Caenorhabditis elegans: one gene and its partners. The protein of the gene in region 2 interacts with the protein of the main gene of each other region in a pairwise test. Each region holds a gene or a part of one and is shown on either strand. Other genes may lie near its edges.

Evidence for each region. The genes of interacting proteins can lie anywhere in the genome.
Region 1: the proteins of ddl-1 (region 2) and wve-1 interact in a two-hybrid assay, tested with the Caenorhabditis elegans proteins (2 studies listed by BioGRID).
Region 3: the proteins of ddl-1 (region 2) and hsb-1 interact in a two-hybrid assay, tested with the Caenorhabditis elegans proteins (2 studies listed by BioGRID).

The regions. Positions count from the first base shown.
Region 1 is NC_003279.8:11,922,755-11,932,052, reverse strand, and holds wve-1 (Wiskott-Aldrich syndrome protein family member), read left to right. Parts: upstream 1-2,536; 5' UTR 2,537-2,545; coding exon 2,546-2,682; intron 2,683-2,731; coding exon 2,732-3,335; intron 3,336-4,605; coding exon 4,606-4,932; intron 4,933-6,269; coding exon 6,270-6,347; intron 6,348-6,517; coding exon 6,518-6,778; 3' UTR 6,779-7,512; downstream 7,513-9,298. Other genes in the region: R06C1.4 (RRM domain-containing protein), read right to left, coding at 418-565, 641-719, 1,219-1,246; fdps-1 (Farnesyl pyrophosphate synthase), read left to right, coding at 8,145-8,273, 8,783-8,923.
Region 2 is NC_003280.10:5,646,659-5,649,526, reverse strand, and holds ddl-1 (WASH complex subunit homolog 3), read left to right. Parts: upstream 1-1,642; 5' UTR 1,643-1,652; coding exon 1,653-1,697; intron 1,698-1,746; coding exon 1,747-2,112; intron 2,113-2,162; coding exon 2,163-2,321; 3' UTR 2,322-2,368; downstream 2,369-2,868. Other genes in the region: F59E12.17 (Anaphase-promoting complex subunit 13), read left to right, coding at 86-169, 243-398; sam-4 (BLOC-1-related complex subunit 5), read left to right, coding at 453-745, 792-999, 1,118-1,339; F59E12.9 (TFIIS central domain-containing protein), read left to right, coding at 2,490-2,579, 2,627-2,699, 2,747-2,868. UniProt on the Caenorhabditis elegans protein: Acts as a component of the WASH core complex that functions as a nucleation-promoting factor (NPF) at the surface of endosomes, where it recruits and activates the Arp2/3 complex to induce actin polymerization, playing a key role in the fission of tubules that serve as transport intermediates during endosome sorting.
Region 3 is NC_003282.8:12,564,309-12,570,065, reverse strand, and holds hsb-1 (Heat shock factor-binding protein 1), read left to right. Parts: upstream 1-2,839; 5' UTR 2,840-2,853; coding exon 2,854-2,934; intron 2,935-2,988; coding exon 2,989-3,150; 3' UTR 3,151-3,155; intron 3,156-3,637; 3' UTR 3,638-3,971; downstream 3,972-5,757. Other genes in the region: Protein let-99, read right to left, coding at 283-467, 526-1,715, 1,763-2,115, 2,166-2,210; eak-7 (MTOR-associated protein MEAK7), read left to right, coding at 4,085-4,210, 4,266-4,445, 4,493-4,919, 5,364-5,509, 5,591-5,713.

The DNA of each region.
Region 1 (9,298 bases), on a different chromosome or scaffold from region 2:
TGCGGTTTGATCTACAAAAAATGCGGGAATTTTCTCCCCAGGAAAGTGTGACGTCAGTTGAAAAGTCTGCGTCTCTTTTCCCTCATTTTTCGAAGATCAAACCAAAATGGGACACTTTGACACCACGTGTCAGTTTCTTTGAAGTCAATTTTCTTTATAATACTTTGCTCATGGTGCAACGATCTTTTTTTAGGTCTAAAAGCCGAAGCCTGAGCCCCAGCCTATGCTTAAGCCTAAGCCTAAGCCTAAGACTGAGCCGTAAACCTGCACTCTGTGAAAAAATGCTCGAAGTTTTCAGTTTTCAAAAAGATTTATTATTTAAGTGTAGATGGTGAAAAACATGCACGAAGATAGAATTTTTGGTGGAATGTATATCACAAGTGCAATCTCTTTGAGTCACTCGGCGGCGTTGTCAGTTTACTTGTTGGCGTAGTTGACACGAAGGTTGCGTCCATTGAAGGCAACTCCGTTAAGTTGTTCGACGGCTCTTTGAGCTCCGGCTTCCTCGGAGAACTCGACGAATGCGAAACCGCGTGGGCGTCCGGTTTCACGATCGTACACGATTCTGGAAGACATTGATTAGTTTTGACAAGGTTTTAATCGAAAGTTTCCGAGTTTCTGAGTTTCTGAGTTCTCTTACCTGACGTTGTTAACATGTCCGACGGCGGCGAAGTAGTTTCCGATCTCCTCCTCAGTTCCTTGGTATGGAACGTTTCCAACTAGAAAAAAATCGATTAGCAAAACGGGGGTAATAGTAGGTTTTGGCCTATATATAGAAAGTTACAAACTCTCACAATGCACTGTTACAGAGCAAATGCACCCTATCCTAGTCCTAGACTACGGAGACCATGACAGTGCGAAAAGTCTCTTCACCCATACTTTTTGTGGTCGAACGGCGTCTCCATTTCCAGAATTGTGTGGCGATCCGTGTGGGGTCCCGGGTACTCAGTTAGTAGACTCAGTTATACTTATACACGTGGAAGGGGACTACCTGAAATATCGGGATTTGTTGTCAAGGAACACGAATGAACCATAGAGAACGAAGGCCGATCGGAAAACGCTAACAATTATCAGAAATCGATACTTTCTGCAAGTCGAAGAAAAGTTCATCGAAGAAAAGTGTGAGAAAGTTTCAGAAGTTTTGAGAATTTTGTATCATATTCAAAATTTGTACAAATTTAAATTTAATTTTCACCACCGATTTATTACTATACTTACCGTAGACGGAGAATCCTTGGGAAGCCATGATAGATTTTTTTTTGAAGAAAAACGAGTGTGTTTCCGCGTGGAAGACAGACTAAAAATGTTCGATCGAATTTGGCAGTCCTAAAAAGATTGAGGCCAAACGCGCGGCGGGTCTCGCAGCGAACGTGCCGCACTACGGTCGATTTTGTGTAGGTTTACGGGAGGGATATTTTGGAGAAGAAATCGGCAATTGTTGGGAAAGTGAAATGCTTATTACGTAACAAATTTGACGCGAAATATACCTCGTAGCGAAAACTACAGTAATTCTTTAAATGACTACTGTACGGGCTCGGTATTCGAAATGAATTTTAGCTTCTGTGACACAACCAAGTTGGCGAAAATTGAGAATTTAGCTATATTTTGTTATTTTTCTCAGAATTAGAACAATTTCATTGATAAATAAAAAGGACCATCTCTCCGAAACCTCGCCATTTCACGATATTTTGAATATTTTGAACAGTAAATATTGAAATTTCAATCTCATTCTATTTTCGCATTTTCCTGTATCGATTTTTTGTTTTGTATATCATTTTTTAGACCGAAAAAAATTAATATTTAAATAAATATAAAACATTTCCGGAAATGAAAATATTTCCGATGAATCACAGCGAGACACTGTATGTATTCGAGAGAGTGCAGACGCTCGCTTGCGCACTTCTCGTGAGTGTTTGCTGACGCATCCCGGGTGCACCTTGGCGCATTTCTGGATTAATGATATTTTAATTGAAAAACATGAGATTTTATTGGTTTTTCCTCGTTTTTTGCAGTTTTTCCGATGAAAAAAAACATTTTCTGACAGAAATAATAATTTTGAAGCTGAAAAACTATGTATTTTATGATATTTCGTTGGAAAATTAGGTTTTATAAGTTTTTCAGTGAATTTGTGGGTTTAGCATGTAAATGAAGCAATTTTATATGTTTTCTAGCGATTTTTCCCGGTAAAGTTACCAATTTCAGCATAATTTTATTAAAAAAGTGGCTTTTCTGTTTAAAAAACTCAATTTTATAATTTTTCCAGTGCATTTTCGTGTTTACCATTAACATTAGAGTTTTTCGTGGAATTTTCCAACTAATTTCATTGATTTTGGCTGCTCGCTTTTATGAAGTTTCCAGTGAATTTTTATGTTTAACTAATTTTTTTCACGATTTTCGTGCCAATTTCCATTAAATCCATGGATTTTTACATATTATTCAGGGAAGAAAGTGATTTTTTTTCGATTTCAAGTCATCTTCTGTGAATTCTAACGCTTTCTCGCAATTTCCACCCACATAATCCCGCAATTTCTGCACATTTTCAGCAATGCCTCTAACAAAACGGGCGGTATCACCGGTAAACCTCAGCAGAGGCACAATTCCATCAACAATCCATCGTGATGAGCTTCAATGTACTGCTAATGGGACAATCGCCAATTTAGTACGACAATTGAGCTCGTTGAGGTGGGAAATTAGGTCGGAAAACTGGAATTTTATCGATTTTTTTTTGCAGTAAGCACGCTGAGAACATCTTCGGAGAGATTTATCACGACGCAATGATAATAAATCACAAATCGAACACTCTTCAACAGAGAATTGATAGATTGCACAAGAAAGTTGAAGATTTGGATTCAAATTCCGATCAAGCAACGTTGAATGAAGCGAATATGCGAAAAGCATTCAAAAGTTCAATGCTTGTAGATCAACATATTCTGGATAGAAGCACTTTACCTACAGCATTGACTGAAATATATGCAAAATGTGATCCACCGCCGGATCTTGATGCTCTAAATCCGTATAGAGACTCTGAAATCCCTGCGCTCTCTCTCTACACAAATCCCTCGTTTTTCTTCGATTTATGGAAAAAGGAGACACTAAAAGAGGTTGCCGAACGGCCCAGACGGGTAAAAAGCCCGAACGACGGGAGTAAAAGCCCGAAAAAGCGGCGGAAGCAGCCTGGACAAGGCCCTCTCGGCACGACGGCCTATAATGATATGCAGCATAGGAATCGACAGATTAGTGGATCACGGATTAATCAGCAGAATGAAGTTTTCTCGTTCCCGGAGGAATATCAGGCTCCGCAGGCTCTCGGGCTTCAGCTTAACTTTAAAAATCAGGTAGATTTTCGCGAGATTTTTCGATTTTTTGAAGAGAAAATCTCCAAACCGTTGAAAATCGGAAAAAATCGATAATTGAGCCCAAAAATTTGAAAAAAATCGAGTTTTTTGCTGAAAAAGTGAATTTTCTATTGTTTAAAAAGAAAATCAACTTTTCAACGAGATTTCAGCGCTTACACAGCTCTTGTGCTCCCCGAGCAGGCCAAAATGTTCTATTTTGGGGCAAAATTATGGGTTTCCAGTAATTTGGAGCATGAAATTTCCTAAAAATGCACTTTTTCGCCAAAAAACAAGCCAAAATCAATGAGAAAAAGTCACTTTTTCATTAAAATCTGCGAAGATTGATAAGTTTTTGGAAAAATCGCTAGAAACCCTACAAATTAACTTCAAAAAAACTATGAAATCGAATTTTTCAACGAAGTCCCAGCTTTTCCGCTTCAAATGATTTTTTACCGTTGAAAATCGGAAAAAATCGATAATTGAGCCCAAAAATTTGAAAAAAAATCGAGTTTTTTGCTGAAAAAGTGAATTTTCTATTGTTTAAAAAGAAAATCAACTTTTCAACGAGATTTCAGCGCTTACACAGCTCTTGTGCTCCCCGAGAAGGCAAAAATTCTCTATTTTGGGCCAATATTTGGGTTTTTTAGCCATTTGGGGCTTGAAATTTCATAAAAATTCACTAGAAACTTCCAAAAAGCCGAGTTTTCACCGAAAAACAAGCGAAAATCAATGAAATTAGTGGGAAATTCCTTAGAAAAAATAATTTTTCAACAGAAAAGTGCCACTTTTTCATTAAAAATATGCGAAAATTGATAATTTTTTTTTTGGAAAAATCGCTAGAAACCCTACAAATTAACTATAAAAATCCTATAAAGTCGAAAGTTTCAATGGGAACAAATAATTTTGAAGCTGAAAAGTTATGGATTCTAGAGGATTTCGTTGAAAAATTCGATTTTATAGGGTTTTTATAATTAATTTGTACGGTTTCTAGGGATTTTTCCAAAAAAACTTATCAATTTCAGCATATTTTTAGTGAAAAAGTGAAACATTTCTGTTGAAAAACGTTTTTCATTGATTTTGGCTTGTCTTTGAGGCTGAAAACTCGAGTTTTTTGGAAGTTTTCAGTGAATTTTTAAGAAATTTCATGCTCCAAATGACAAAAAAACTCTGAAAAATCGATAATTAAGCCCAAATATCCTTCTCTGGGAGTAATTTTGAAGAAAAAAACGATTTTTTCCACTGAAAATCTCCCAATTTTTGATAAATTCAGCACCCCTCCAACATGGTTGCCCCAATCGGAATGACAATGCACCATCATCCTCAACAAAATGTGCATCCGAGCCAACAACGAGGTGGTGCTCCAGCAGCAGCTCGTGGATCTCCGAATGTTAAACGTCCGACTGAAGCTCCGCCGCCAGTGAATCTGGATCACCTCCCACCACCGGATATGTCAATTTTATCGATTGATGATGATGATGATGATCTTCCACCACCACCACCACCGCTTCTCATGAATACATCAATTGTACATCAGTTACCAGCAGAAGCTCCGTCGACGATACAGTTTGTCGAGCCGAGTGCTGCTCCGCCGACTAATGTACGTTTTGGAGCTCGAGAGAATTTGGAGATTTTGGAGTAAAATCTTGGTTTTTGCGAGGAAAAAAGCTTGCGTTTTTGCTTTAAATTGTCCGTTTTCACGACGAAAAAGCTTGGAAAAGCTTGAAAAAACTAGAAAATGTGAAAAGTCTCTATTATTCTAAGTTATTATGAGCGTTTAGAAGCCTTAAGCCTTTTTCAGGCAAAATCTCGCTTTTTCGCTTTAATTTGTTCATTTGGGCCACGAAATCACGAAAAATTGGTTGAACTCTATTAGAAAGGCTTGAAACGGCTTGAAACCGTTTGGAAAAGCTTGGAAAAGCCTGACAGAGCTTGAACTAGCTTGGAAGAACTTGAAAGAGAACGATAAAGCTTGAACAAGTTTGGAAAGCCTGACAGAGCTTGAACTAGCTTGGAGAAGCTTAAAGAGCTTGAAAAAATAGTGAACAAGCTTGGAGAACCTTGAAATGGCTTGAAAACGTTTGGAAAACCCTGGAAAAGGCTTGAAAAGGCCTGCAAAAGACAGGAAAAGATTCCAAAACGCTTAAGAAAGCTTGAACAAGCTTGGAAAAGCTTGAAAGAGCAAGAAAAAGCCTGGAAAAGCTTGTAGAGCTTAAACGAACTTGTAATAGCTTGAAAAGGCTTGGAAAAGCCTGACAGAGCTTGAAATAGCTTGAATGAGCTTAACGAGCTTATAATAGTTTGAAAAAGCCTGGAAAAACCTGGAAAAGCTTGGAGGAGCTTGAACAAGCTTGACCAAGCTTGAGCAAGCCTGAAAGAGTTGGGAAAAGCCTGAAAAAGCTTGGAAACGCCTTGAAAAAGCTTGGAGGAGCTTGAACAAGCTTGACAAAGCTTGAAAAAGCCTGACTGAGCTTGAAATAGCTTCGATGAGCTTAAACAGCTTGAAACAGCTTGAAAGAGAACGATAGTGGCTTCGAAAAGCTTACAGAGCTTAAAAAAGCCTGGAAAAACTTCAAAATGCTCGTGCGAGCTTGAAACAGCTTGTAAAGCCTGAAAGAGCTTGGAAAAGGCGTCAAAAAGCTTAGACGAGCTCGAAAAAGCTTGCGAAAGCCTGGAAAAGCTAAAAAAGCCTGACTGAGCTTGAAATATCTTCGATGAGCTTAAAAAGCTTGAAACAGCTTGGAAAAGCTTGGAAATTTGTGAAAAGCTCCAAGATTTCTTGTAGTGCATAAAATTAATTTGAAGCTATATTTCTGCAATTTCCAAGCTTAAAACCCCGAATTTTTCAGTTAAAAATTTGCAATTTTTGTCCATTTTTGTGTTTCCCTCATTGTTGTCCACTTTCCGCTTCTTTCTTCAATTCTCGATCCCTTTCAGATCCCTCCACCACCTCCACCACCACCTCCAATGGTTATAAGCTCGGCTGCAGCGTCATTTGCAGCTCCGGCTCCAAAGGTAAAGGCGCTGGAACAGCAGGGCTCTATGTGTGTCTAACCCGCTGAAAATGTGTAGTTTTCCTGTGTTTTTTGGACTTTTTTGAAGCTTTTTTAGGGACAAATTTCAAGAGAAATAGCCGAATTTTCATCAAAAAATCGATTTTCTCCCACTAAAACTGAAATTTTCAGCCATCCGCGGACGGTGAAGCTGCTGGCACAAATTCCCCAGTTGCTCCAAAACAACCAGATGCTCGAAGTGATCTTTTGGCTCAAATTCAATCTGGAATAAAGCTGAAAAAAGTGCAAAGAGCCGAGGCAGAAGCCGCCGAGAATGCTGCTCTCGAGGCGAATAATGTTGCGGCGATATTGAAGAGACGAATGGATCAAGTTATGGGAAATGATGATTCAAGTAGTGAAGAAGGAGCTGATGATGATGAATGGGATGATTAATTGCTCTCTTTTGTGTCGATTTACGCAGATCTCGTGTACTCCTCGAGGAGAAGATTCTACAGATTTTGGCTAAAAATGCTTGATTTTCGCTATTTTTTCCTTGAAAATTAACATTCAAAGCGGTGATTTTTAAGCGAAAAACCCGTGAAAATAGCTCTAAATCAAGCATTATTACCCATTTTTGCATTTTTACTGATTTTTTCGGTGAAAAAAAAAACGATTTTTCGCTGAAATTCTTGATTTTCGCTATTTTTACTTGAAAATTAACATTCAAAGCGGTTATTTATGCACTTTTAAGTGAAATCTGAGTGTTTTTAAAGTTAAAAATAAAAATAATTCATTGATTTTTGCCAAAAAAAAAACCGTGAACATTGCGAAAATGGCTCAAAATCAAGTACTTTTTTTTGCTAAAATGGTTGATTTTGAGCCATTTTCGCTATTTTCACGGTTTTTTTTTGTCGGTGAAAACTTTAAAATCGCTCAAATTTCACTTAAAACGCTATAAATAACCGGTTTAAATGTTAATTTTGATAGAAAAATAGCGAAAATCAAGCATTTTTAAGCCAAAAAACTGTAAAATCTTCTCCTCGGGGACTACACGAGCTGCGTAAATCGACGCACACTTTTTCGAATTTTCTTGTGTAAATACTGCCTTGCTTTAATTTATTTATTCAAAAATTTTTAAAATTTTTTCCGCTTTCCTGTTTCAAATGAACTGATTTTTCTCATTTTTTGCCCCTCCAGAATTGTAAATTTAAATTTCCAAGTGGTCGCCTGCCCCCTCATTATTATTTCGCAATTTTATGATTCATCAGTTTTTCCAATTTTTATTCGATTTTTTTTCAATTTAAATCAATTTAAACCTTTGAAATGTAGGAAAACTTCAATTTTCGCTTAAAATTTTCAATTTTTGGTGAAAAATCGATTTTTCCGGAAAAAAAACGTGAAATTTCCAATTTGGAGCACATTTTTATGAAATTTGCATCATTTCTCTCGAATTTACGAAAATATTTAAATTTTCAGCGGAATTTGGACATATTTCCTGGAAAACTCTTGATTTTTCGCAGAAAATTGCAATTTTTCATGCAAAAATTTGTTTTCTACGCATCGGAGCTCCAAAATTCCCAAATTATTCGAAAATTCAATTTTTAGCTTTTTTTTTCTCGAAATTTCAATTGAAAATCGTGTTTTTTGGCTCATTTTAGCTCAGTTTTCAGCTGAAAAATTCGAAATTGGGCGAAAATTTGCTCAAAAACCGGTTTTTCAGCTTGAAATTTCATAATAATGATGCAACGGCTCTAAATTTTCATTTTCTCTAGTTTTTTTTGCCATTTTTCCCTCTAATTTTCTCGTATTTTCAGCAGCAATGTTCGCCAGTAGAAAGCTGGTAGAAACGGCGTTGGGCGAAGTTAAGAAGAAATTCGTACGGGTTGTGGCGGCAAAATTGCCTGCTGATGGAATGGAATACGATTTGGTTCAGTATAGATGTAGAAATGTACGGAAAAGACGATTTTCTCGGTTAAAATGCGTGGAAAAATGGCACTTTTCACACTAAAACTAGAAAAAAGTGGAGAAAAAGTCAAAAATTCACTCCAAATTTCGAATTTCCTGTTGAAAATTTCATATTTTTCGCCGCAGAAAATGCACTAAAACCAGCAGAAAAAGTTTTTGTTTGATTTTCTAACTAAAAATCCAGTTTTTTCCATCAAAAAATTCAAAATTTTCTGCTAAAAAACCAAAAAAGGAGAAAAAGTGGAGAAAAAGTCAAAACTTGACTCCAAATACCGAATTTCCTGCACATTTTTCCGTATTTTCTGCTGAAAATTCACTAAAATCAGCAAAAAATACGCCGAAAACCGGAGGAAAAAGCAGTTTTCCAGAGAAATTCTGTATTTTTTGCACTAAAAGCAGTAAATTTTCCAAAAAAAAGCCAATTTTTCACGATTTTGGTCAGTTTTTGGCGAAAAATCCAGTATTTTCCATCAAAAATTCCCAAATTTTCAGCTATTCGACAACACTGTAATCGGCGGAAAATACTCACGAGCATCCCTATGCGTTGACACAATACGGGCTTTACAGCCTCATTTAAGAGATGAAACTCAGGAGCTTCAAGCTGTGTGTGAAGCTGCTGCAACACTTGAAATTGTCAGTTTTTAGATGGAAAATCGGCGTTTTTTGAGAGAAAACCCGACTAAATTGAAGGAGAATGGGCTCAAATGAACGAATTTCGTAATGAAACTGCTCGAAAATGCAATTTTTCATTAAAAATCACCGAGAAAATCTTTTTTTTCCTAAAAATCCGAAAAATCAATAATTTTTTGCAGTTCCTGAAAATTAGAATAACCGAAAAATTGGAATTTTCTTATAAATTACCAGAAAATGGCTTTTTCCATTAAAAAAAGCATGTGAAAATCATATTTTTCAATAAAAAAAGCCAAAAAACCAAAAATTGGAGGTTTTTTTCCCGTACAAAAACCTAAAAATCTCGCTAAATCATCAAAAAATCCAATTTTTTTCACT
Region 2 (2,868 bases):
TTTTCCATTTATTTTAAACGTTTCCGATTAAAAATACATAAAATTATTGATTACAGGATAAGGAAACTTCGGAGAAAGCCATCGTATGTCGTTCGTCCCATCAGAAGTTCGACTTGATCACACATTTTTAGAGTGGGACAAAGAGTGGATATTCCAGCGTCTGCCAAAGGTTTGTGACAAGCTTTTCGAATAATTAAAGTGTAAAACCCGTAAGTATTGAAATTAAAATTATTCATTTTTAGACCGAGATTCAAATTCCGCGCGAGTTTGAGCCAGATATCGAAACCGACGCAATTCCCACCATTGCTCGTCAGCCCGCCGACCCAAACACTACCTGGAACGAGACTGGTTTGGATCAAATTCAAATGGGACCAACCATCAATAGTACAAAAAATTAAATCAAGGTTTGTGAAAGTTGATGTAATTTTTTAACTTCTTACACAAATTTTCAGATGGGAAACGAACAAAGCTCGTCAACAGCGGGCACATCATCTAATCCTCAAAATCAACAGTCGTCTTTTTCATTTCTCACTCGAGCCAGTACTAAACGATCAAAAGGCATTATCACGGTCAAAGATGGCAATATTCCTCAAGAAAAACTCGAAGATGATGAAATTTACAAAAGATTCACCGAAATTCCCCGTTTTTTGCCGGTGATTCCAGCCGTAATAGGCAAACGAGATCCACAAACGAATCAAGGAGCTTCTTACACTCATCAAAAAATCAGTTCGCGGCCCTTTTTTCGGTAAGATTTATTCCTTTTATTCAAAGTTTTAAAGTCACATATTCAGACTAGCAACACGATTACAAGAACATTTTGCCGTTAATGCGAAAGCAGTGGCAGCAGATCAAGCTAAAATTCCAGCAACTTGCAAGAGTGTTGAAGCGAAAATGATCAGACTTATTGAAGAAACAAGAGCTCATAAAGAACAACATGACGGTTTTATGGCTGCATTGAGCGGACTTAATCAATTGCACGATGACATCTGTAGTATTCAGGTGCGAATTAGAAAAAGAAACAATATTTAATGCATCATACCAAAATTGATTTTTAAAATGTTGCACCTTACATTTTTGCTCAAAAAACTTGCTCCGTTTATCAAAAATTAATTTTCAGATAATTCTTGAAGATATTGTGCCAATGGTTGAAACGCTTAATGAAATTCTAACTCCCGACGAACGTCTTCCTCCTCTTAATCTTGGCTCAGTGCTCGACAGATCTCCCGTTCCAAGCAGTGATAGCTCACTTCAAAGTACGCCCCGCCATAATCAAAATATTGGTCATATTGATCAAATTGAGCCGATTGAAGAAATCCGCGTAGTTGATCTACCAAAATAATTAATTTGTAAATTTTTATTCTCTTCTTGAATCTGTTGCCCTATCGCCCTTCCCAAAAAGTCTTGAAGGCTTTATCTCACTTTCTTCTCGCAATATCAAAATTCCATTGCCGTTTTGTGATTTTTTATTTAGTTCATGCACATATTTATCCGTCAATCCTATTTTGATTTCTAAATTTATCATAAATTCTAGTATTTTTCGCAAATTAATCTAATTAATTTACTTTGAATCTAACTTATATGGTTTGTGCCTTTTTCATATTTCCATTTCTTGTAATTAATTGCATCATTAATTAATTTTTAGATCACCAGCAATGAATGCGAGCTCCAGAACCAAACCTGCAATCGATTTGAACAAGGTAATATCTTAAAATCTCATCATAAAACTTTAAAGCTAAATTTTTTAAGGTTCCTCCGATCGATCATCACCGTACAGCAGTAACATTCAACTGTCTCATCATGAAAATGACAGAAATGCTCAATAATTTCGGAAATAAAATGGAAGACATTTTGGAAAAGGCAGAGCAGAGTTTAGACACTGCCGATCGAAAGTTACGCTTGATGGAATCGAAATTGGCAGGAATGAGTTTGGAGGATAAATCAACCACCGCCACACCATCATCAGCACCAGAAATAGACGAAATTCACGAATCGAATCCCAGCTCTTCACAAATCGTGGAGGAAACAGTGGAAGAGAAACCAGAAGAACATACTACGACGGTTCTTATCAAAGACGACCCGGCTTATAGTAAATATTTCAAAATGCTGAAATTGGTGAGTTTATCCACTTGAAATTGCTTTAATAATACTGTAATTTTTTTTAGGGAGTGCTTGAAGCTGGTGTAATACAGAAAATGAAATCCGAAGGCGTCGACCCATCAATTTTGAAACGCGGTGATGAACCATCTCGTCCACAGGCACAGACTTCACGGAATTATGAATCTTCTGGAGAATCTACGGCATCCTTCTCTGACTCTGATTAATTTATTTTTTGTATATTTTTACGGGTTCATAAAATGTATAAAACATTATTTTTTAATTTTCGGAATATGATGTACTACACTGTTAACTCGTTTTAACGATTATGATATACTTCTATTCATTTTTTTAAAATTGATATAATATACATACTAATTTCCCTTTCAGACAAAATGAAATCACATTCAAATGTAACTACGCCACAAGCAGAACTTGTGAGCCCAGCCATGGGTGAACTACTCAAAAATGCCATCATGAAATCTGTAAGTTATTAAATTAATATCACATGGAAACTTTATTTGAAATTTAGGCTCCTGTCGCTCTTGCACTTATGAAAGGTGAACGTCCTGGGAAGAAAAAGAAAAATAAAAGGGAAAAACAAGGTGAGCGACCGTTCGAATAAATGATTAGACTATCGGCAGTTTTTCAGAAGATGACGTGGAAGTTACACCAAAGTCGAAAGAGAAACGTCGGAAAAGCGAGAAGAAGGAAAAACCTCCAATTTTGAATTATTTGGACGATTCAGATTCTGATTCGGCAGATTTTTCATCA
Region 3 (5,757 bases), on a different chromosome or scaffold from region 2:
CGGTACCGGTCTCGAGGCGACAAATTTTTCTTTTGTCGAATGAAACGAATGAAGATTTCTGCAGAATTTTAATTGTTGAAATATAGGTGTTAATTTTGTAGTGCTAAATTGATAAATATTTTTTTTTATCAAATAACTAATTAAAATCCATAAAAATTCGGCAGAAATGAGAGTTTGAAATTACAGTACTCCTTGAGGGCGCACACATTTTCTTATCTAACAAAAAGTTGTCGTGTCGAGACCGGTTACAGTAGTTTTCTTGCAAAATTATCCCCTCCTTACCGCTTCCCGATTGTTGGAAGATCCGTTAGAAGGATCAGCGAGGTCGAAAACTGCATTCGTTTCGATCGATTGAATGAATGTAACAAATTTGTGAAGTTTCCGACGTCGTGAAGTTGGAAGCGAAAGAAGTACCAATTGAATTGCTTCGATCAACCATTGCTCTCGGATTTCGTAGGATTTTTCGTCTGAAATTATAATTTTAAGTAAAAATCGTGAAACTGTAATAAAAATAAAATTCTTTACCTTGTATTTCCAAATTCACTCTATTATCAAATGGTGATAACGCACGTCGTCGATACTTTGAAGCTCGAATTCCGCATGCTGGAAGATCACGGGAGAATCCATCGACCATCAATCCAGCCTCCTCAATACTAGACGCAGACGAAGAAATCATCACTTTCGACCATCGCCTTGCAGGCCCATTGTCAAGCATTGCCGCGAAGCTATCGATTTTGCAGAGGAGATTAACAATAAGAGAGCATTCATCGAATTGAAGAGGAGCATTCAAGTCTTCGAGACGATTGACTAGAGTTATGAAAATCCGATTGACGTTGTATTCCAACCCTGTGTCCATTTTTTTATGCGTGACGAAGGGATATCGAACAAGATAATCCATGAATTGAATAACAGTTTGGGGATAATCGGGCTGCAGTCCCTGACATCTCGATTTGACGATTCCATCAGCATGATCTATTTCAATCATGTTCCACTGAATATCGTATCCATCGACTTTAGATGCCCATTCACAGGGAAGAGTGCGATCGTAAATTTGTTCCAATCGTCCAAGCAGCTCTGTTTTCCAAAATGAGCATTCGTTGTTTGCCTGGACAGAGTCTGCAACTGGAACAACCGACGATCTTCTCATGATGGATTCGTACATTCTTCCACGCGATAACAATGCTGGATTTGATCCTGCGATGCTTGTCCGATGATTTTGATATCTGCTAGGAACTGCAGGCAACGGTCCTTGTGGATGCATAAAGACGACGTCTTTCGGGGCTTCTCGAATTGGCGGAGTGGTTACTTTCTGACTACGAAGAGCAGCTTCAGCTTTTTCTTGTTCCAAAACACAATGATTTCGATCAAGGGATGCTGAACGACGGGTTGGTTGATTGACTTTCGTGTGATTTCGTCTTGATTTGAAAAACGGTAACCAATCATAAACCTTCTCTTTCATCTCAGAAACTTCTCGTTTTTCAGTATATTCTTCTGTACAGATACTTTCAAGTGATCTGTTCAAAATCTTCGGAGTTCGTTGTTTCTTCGGGATTTCATCGTCTTTATGATCATCGAAACCGTGATTCTCAACGCCGCCTGAAGAATTATCGATGCCTGCTTTGTCAATGTTGCCATTAGATCGCGATAATCTTCGTGGGAGCCTTGCCTTTGGTGGCCGGTGCATTGTCGCGGCAGGAGAGGCAGGTTGAGCAACTCTGGAAATATATTTTATAGCACAGTTTAAAATGATTATTTGGCATACTTTGCACTTTTGCGAGCACCACTGAAAGACGCTGATCGACGTGATCGGGGCTTGGGATGCTTCAACTCATCCAAAGTCTTCATGAACAAATATATTCTCGATTCACTGAATGGCCTCCTTTGCTTGACTTTCTTCGGGAAGGCTTCTGAAATCACGTTCATGTCCATCATGAACTCCAGGAACTTCTGCATCTTGTCTCGTTCCGGAACATTGTTAGGGATGATTCGTGGCATTTCAATCATCAGAAAATCCACAGCTTCTTTCCCGCTGAAACTGTTTTCCGCAGTGGCCAATCCTCTTCTGTTCGTTTTGAGTGATAAGTTTGAACGAAAATGCCATAGAATTTCGTCGAACTGAAAATCAGAATAAAATTTCAAAAGACAAATGTGAAACATTTTAATACCAGATGCGTCGCCTTGAACTTCTCCGATGAGTAGTCGGCAGACATCACGGCAAGACGGCCTAAAACTTGAATTTTGATGGTTTATTGATAAATTTAAGAACTTCTTAAAAGAAAACGAGATTTCATCACGAAAAAAAGCAAGAATGAGGAAAAATTTCTGGAAACTTCCTAAAAATTGCTGAAACGAGTGAAGTTTTGGCGCCGAAGTTTTGTTTACGGACCAAACACACGAAAACACGACTTGTCACACAACTTATTAGCTACAGTAACCCATTCTGCTTTGAAAATTTCTCTTTTTAATTAAAAATTCCTCGATTCAGATGTTTTTTTTTTCTCAAAGTGTTTCTAATAATTATATTTTCCTCGAAATCCACACTATTTTACATAAAACAAATCATCTTATTCTGCTCTTTTCGCCGTTTACACCATCTGTCCTTCTCCAATGACTCCTTCTCTGCGTCTCTTTCACTCTCTCGCCGCCCTCTTTTTCTCTGTCGTCTCTCACTTCGACGTACTTTCTCTCGTGTTGTTGTTCCCGTACTTTTGTGTGTTCCACTGTTTGTGAGATGACGGCTAGTTGCCTGGTACTGGATTCTCACCAGTTTTAATTGATTTTTCATCAAATTTTCTTTAAAAACTGATTAAACTTTGTGATTTTTATCGTATTTTTACAGATTTTCAGTTCAAAATGTCCGATGAGAAGTCTACCACACCAACCGCTCAACTCGACGCTCCAGCCGATGGAAATATGAATGATTTGACGTCGTTGGTACGTAAATACTTGAAAAAAATTGTCAATTTTCTAAAAAATCCTAAAACTCAGATACAAGGAGTTCTGCAACAGACACAGGATCGATTCCAGCACATGTCGGATCAGATTATTCGGCGAATCGATGATATGACAACGAGAATCGATGATTTGGAGAAGAATATCAACGATTTGCTGCAATCGAACCAAGTTGAACATCCGCCAAGCGCTCAATAAGATTGGTACGGAATGAGAAAAATGGGAAACATTCTCAAAAATTTCGGTCGATGTTTTGACCACTCGTTATTTTTGAAAAACAGTGTTGTTTTTGATGTCGACTTTGAAATTTCAAAAAAAAACAATAATATGGGCCGTGGGACCCAATTAGAAATACAGTAAAAAACGCTCTTTGGCCGAATATTTTATAATTTTCATGTATGAAGTCAATCCTTTTATTCCTTCTTAACTTTAGTTTGAAATATATTTAGATTTCCTAGCGCCTTTCCAATCGATTTACCACGTGGTAATCAGGCCGATTGCACCGTTATTCCAAGACTTTATCATTAAAAATTAGTATAAAAATATAGAACTTCACCTATTAATTTTGGCTGAAAAATTCGCCGAAGAGCTCAAAAATGGTCTGAAAGATGCCAAATTTCCACTAAAAAATCAATTTGTAGAGATTATTAATAACTAATCTCTCTTCAATTTCTATTTTTTCCAGCTCTACACTCTTCCCAAATGAATCATCGTCGCTTCCTTCTTCATCATCATCATAATTCCAATTCGTTTTGTGTGCTTCTCTGCGTCTCTCCTACATACATATACTCTTTTCACGTCTTCTTCTTCTTCTTTTTCTACTGATTATGCACGTGTTGAGAGGATTCATGACTACTATGTTGTGCCTCCTGCTTTTAATCTCTTATTCAATAACTTTTGTTGCATTTTATTACGATTTTCGGAATTATTTTATTTATATGTGAAAACACAAATTTTGCCAAAAATTCAAATTTTTGTGCATTTTTAAAAAAAATTTTCAATATGAAACTATTCATCTTACTTTTTCTTCTTCTTCCCTTGAATTTTTTCTCATACTAAATGTTGATTTCTCACAGTTTTTACTAACTATTTCGCATCCGGATTTTCAGATAAAAAACATATAATTTCAGAAATGGGAGCTCAAAATTCGAAGCGAAAAGATCTAAAAAATATTAACGATGAGGATTATGCACATTTTATGGAAAAACTCAAAAAACACACAGATGGAAAGGACAAAATGACGCGAGACCAGTTTGTGGTGAATTAATTTTTAGAAGGAAAATACATTTTAATATAAAATTTTCAAATTCCAGGCAATGTTCATACCGATTCTGGGTGAATATTCATCACAATTCTACTTTCGTTTGGTAAAAAACGAGCCGCAGGGCGTTTTGCTCGCTAAAACAATCCTAAAATGTATTGATACTGGACTGGGACATTTCGATCAGCTCGCCGATATGCTCAGATTCTGTTTTGGAGATCAAAAAGATCAGGTTTCGAATTTATTAATTTAAAGAAAAACTTCTTTTTTTTTTGTCAGATAATGCGAAATGTTGTGAAAATCTTCTGTGAAGGAAACAAATTCACCCGAGAGGATCAGGTCCGTCTCTACGATTATTTCGAAACAGAAAATACAAAACCAGTGAGCGAACTGGAAAGCTTTTTCTCAATGTGCCCACTGTTCGCCTATTGTGCTTCGTTCATTTTCCAACGACTTTTGGATAAAACTGGAGACTCGAAAATGCCAATTCTCTCGGACAAGACTCATTTAATGGGAAATATCGATCAATTAGTGCTCAACTCGCACCTTCCATTCGATCGACGCAAAAATTGGACACTTTTATATTCAAACATGAAACACGGGCAAAGTTTCTCACAATTGGTTAAATGTATTAATGGAGAAGGTCCTTGTATGATTGTGATCAGATCAATGAAAGGACGACGATTTGGGTTTTTCGCCTCGCAAGGTACACAAGAAATGTTGTGTCGATTTACGCAGCTCGTGTACTCCTCGAGAAGAATTTATACCTTATGATTTGCAGAAGATTTTACAGATTTTACTTTTTTTGCAGATTTTCTAGATTTCAGATCTTTCTTTTTGTAGACTGAAACCGAGAAATTGTAGTTTTACAATAGCAAATACATTTTCAAAAATGCTATAAATTATAGATAAATTGATGATTCCAGTTTTAAATATCAAAAAAATTGACAAACAGTTTCAAAAATTGAACATTTCATCCAAAAACTGTAAAATCTTCCTCCACGAGGAATACACGAACTGCGTAAATCCACACATGGCTGTGTTACAAGTTTCGCAGTAATTCTTCATTTTTTCAATTATGATAAAGCAACGGAATTCTAGCAGATACTATTTGAGTACCAATTTTCTCTAAAAATTGAAAATTTTTTAGGTTTTCTCGCGGGACCCCAATACCGTGGCACGGCCGAGTGTTTCCTCTTCCAGCTGGCTCCGAAAATTGCAACTTTTGATGCGACCGGGCGGACTGAGAATTACGTGTACCTAAACTACCAGCAACAGCAACATCCGAATGGATTGGTGAGTATATCCCGCCATGGATCATTCAGTATCTAGAGAACCAGTTTTACGATTTTTAAGTGTGAAATTTTCAAATTTCAGGGAATTGGTGGAACCGAATCCGTATGGCCGTTGTTTATCCACGAGGAGTTTGGCGGTGGAACGTGCCAAAAGAATTCCAGTTCGTTTGAGCCTTGCCACATTGCCGAAGAGGACGAGTTCAAGGTGAATCGGGACTAAAGCCCTTAAAGCCGAAAAAACGAAACAAA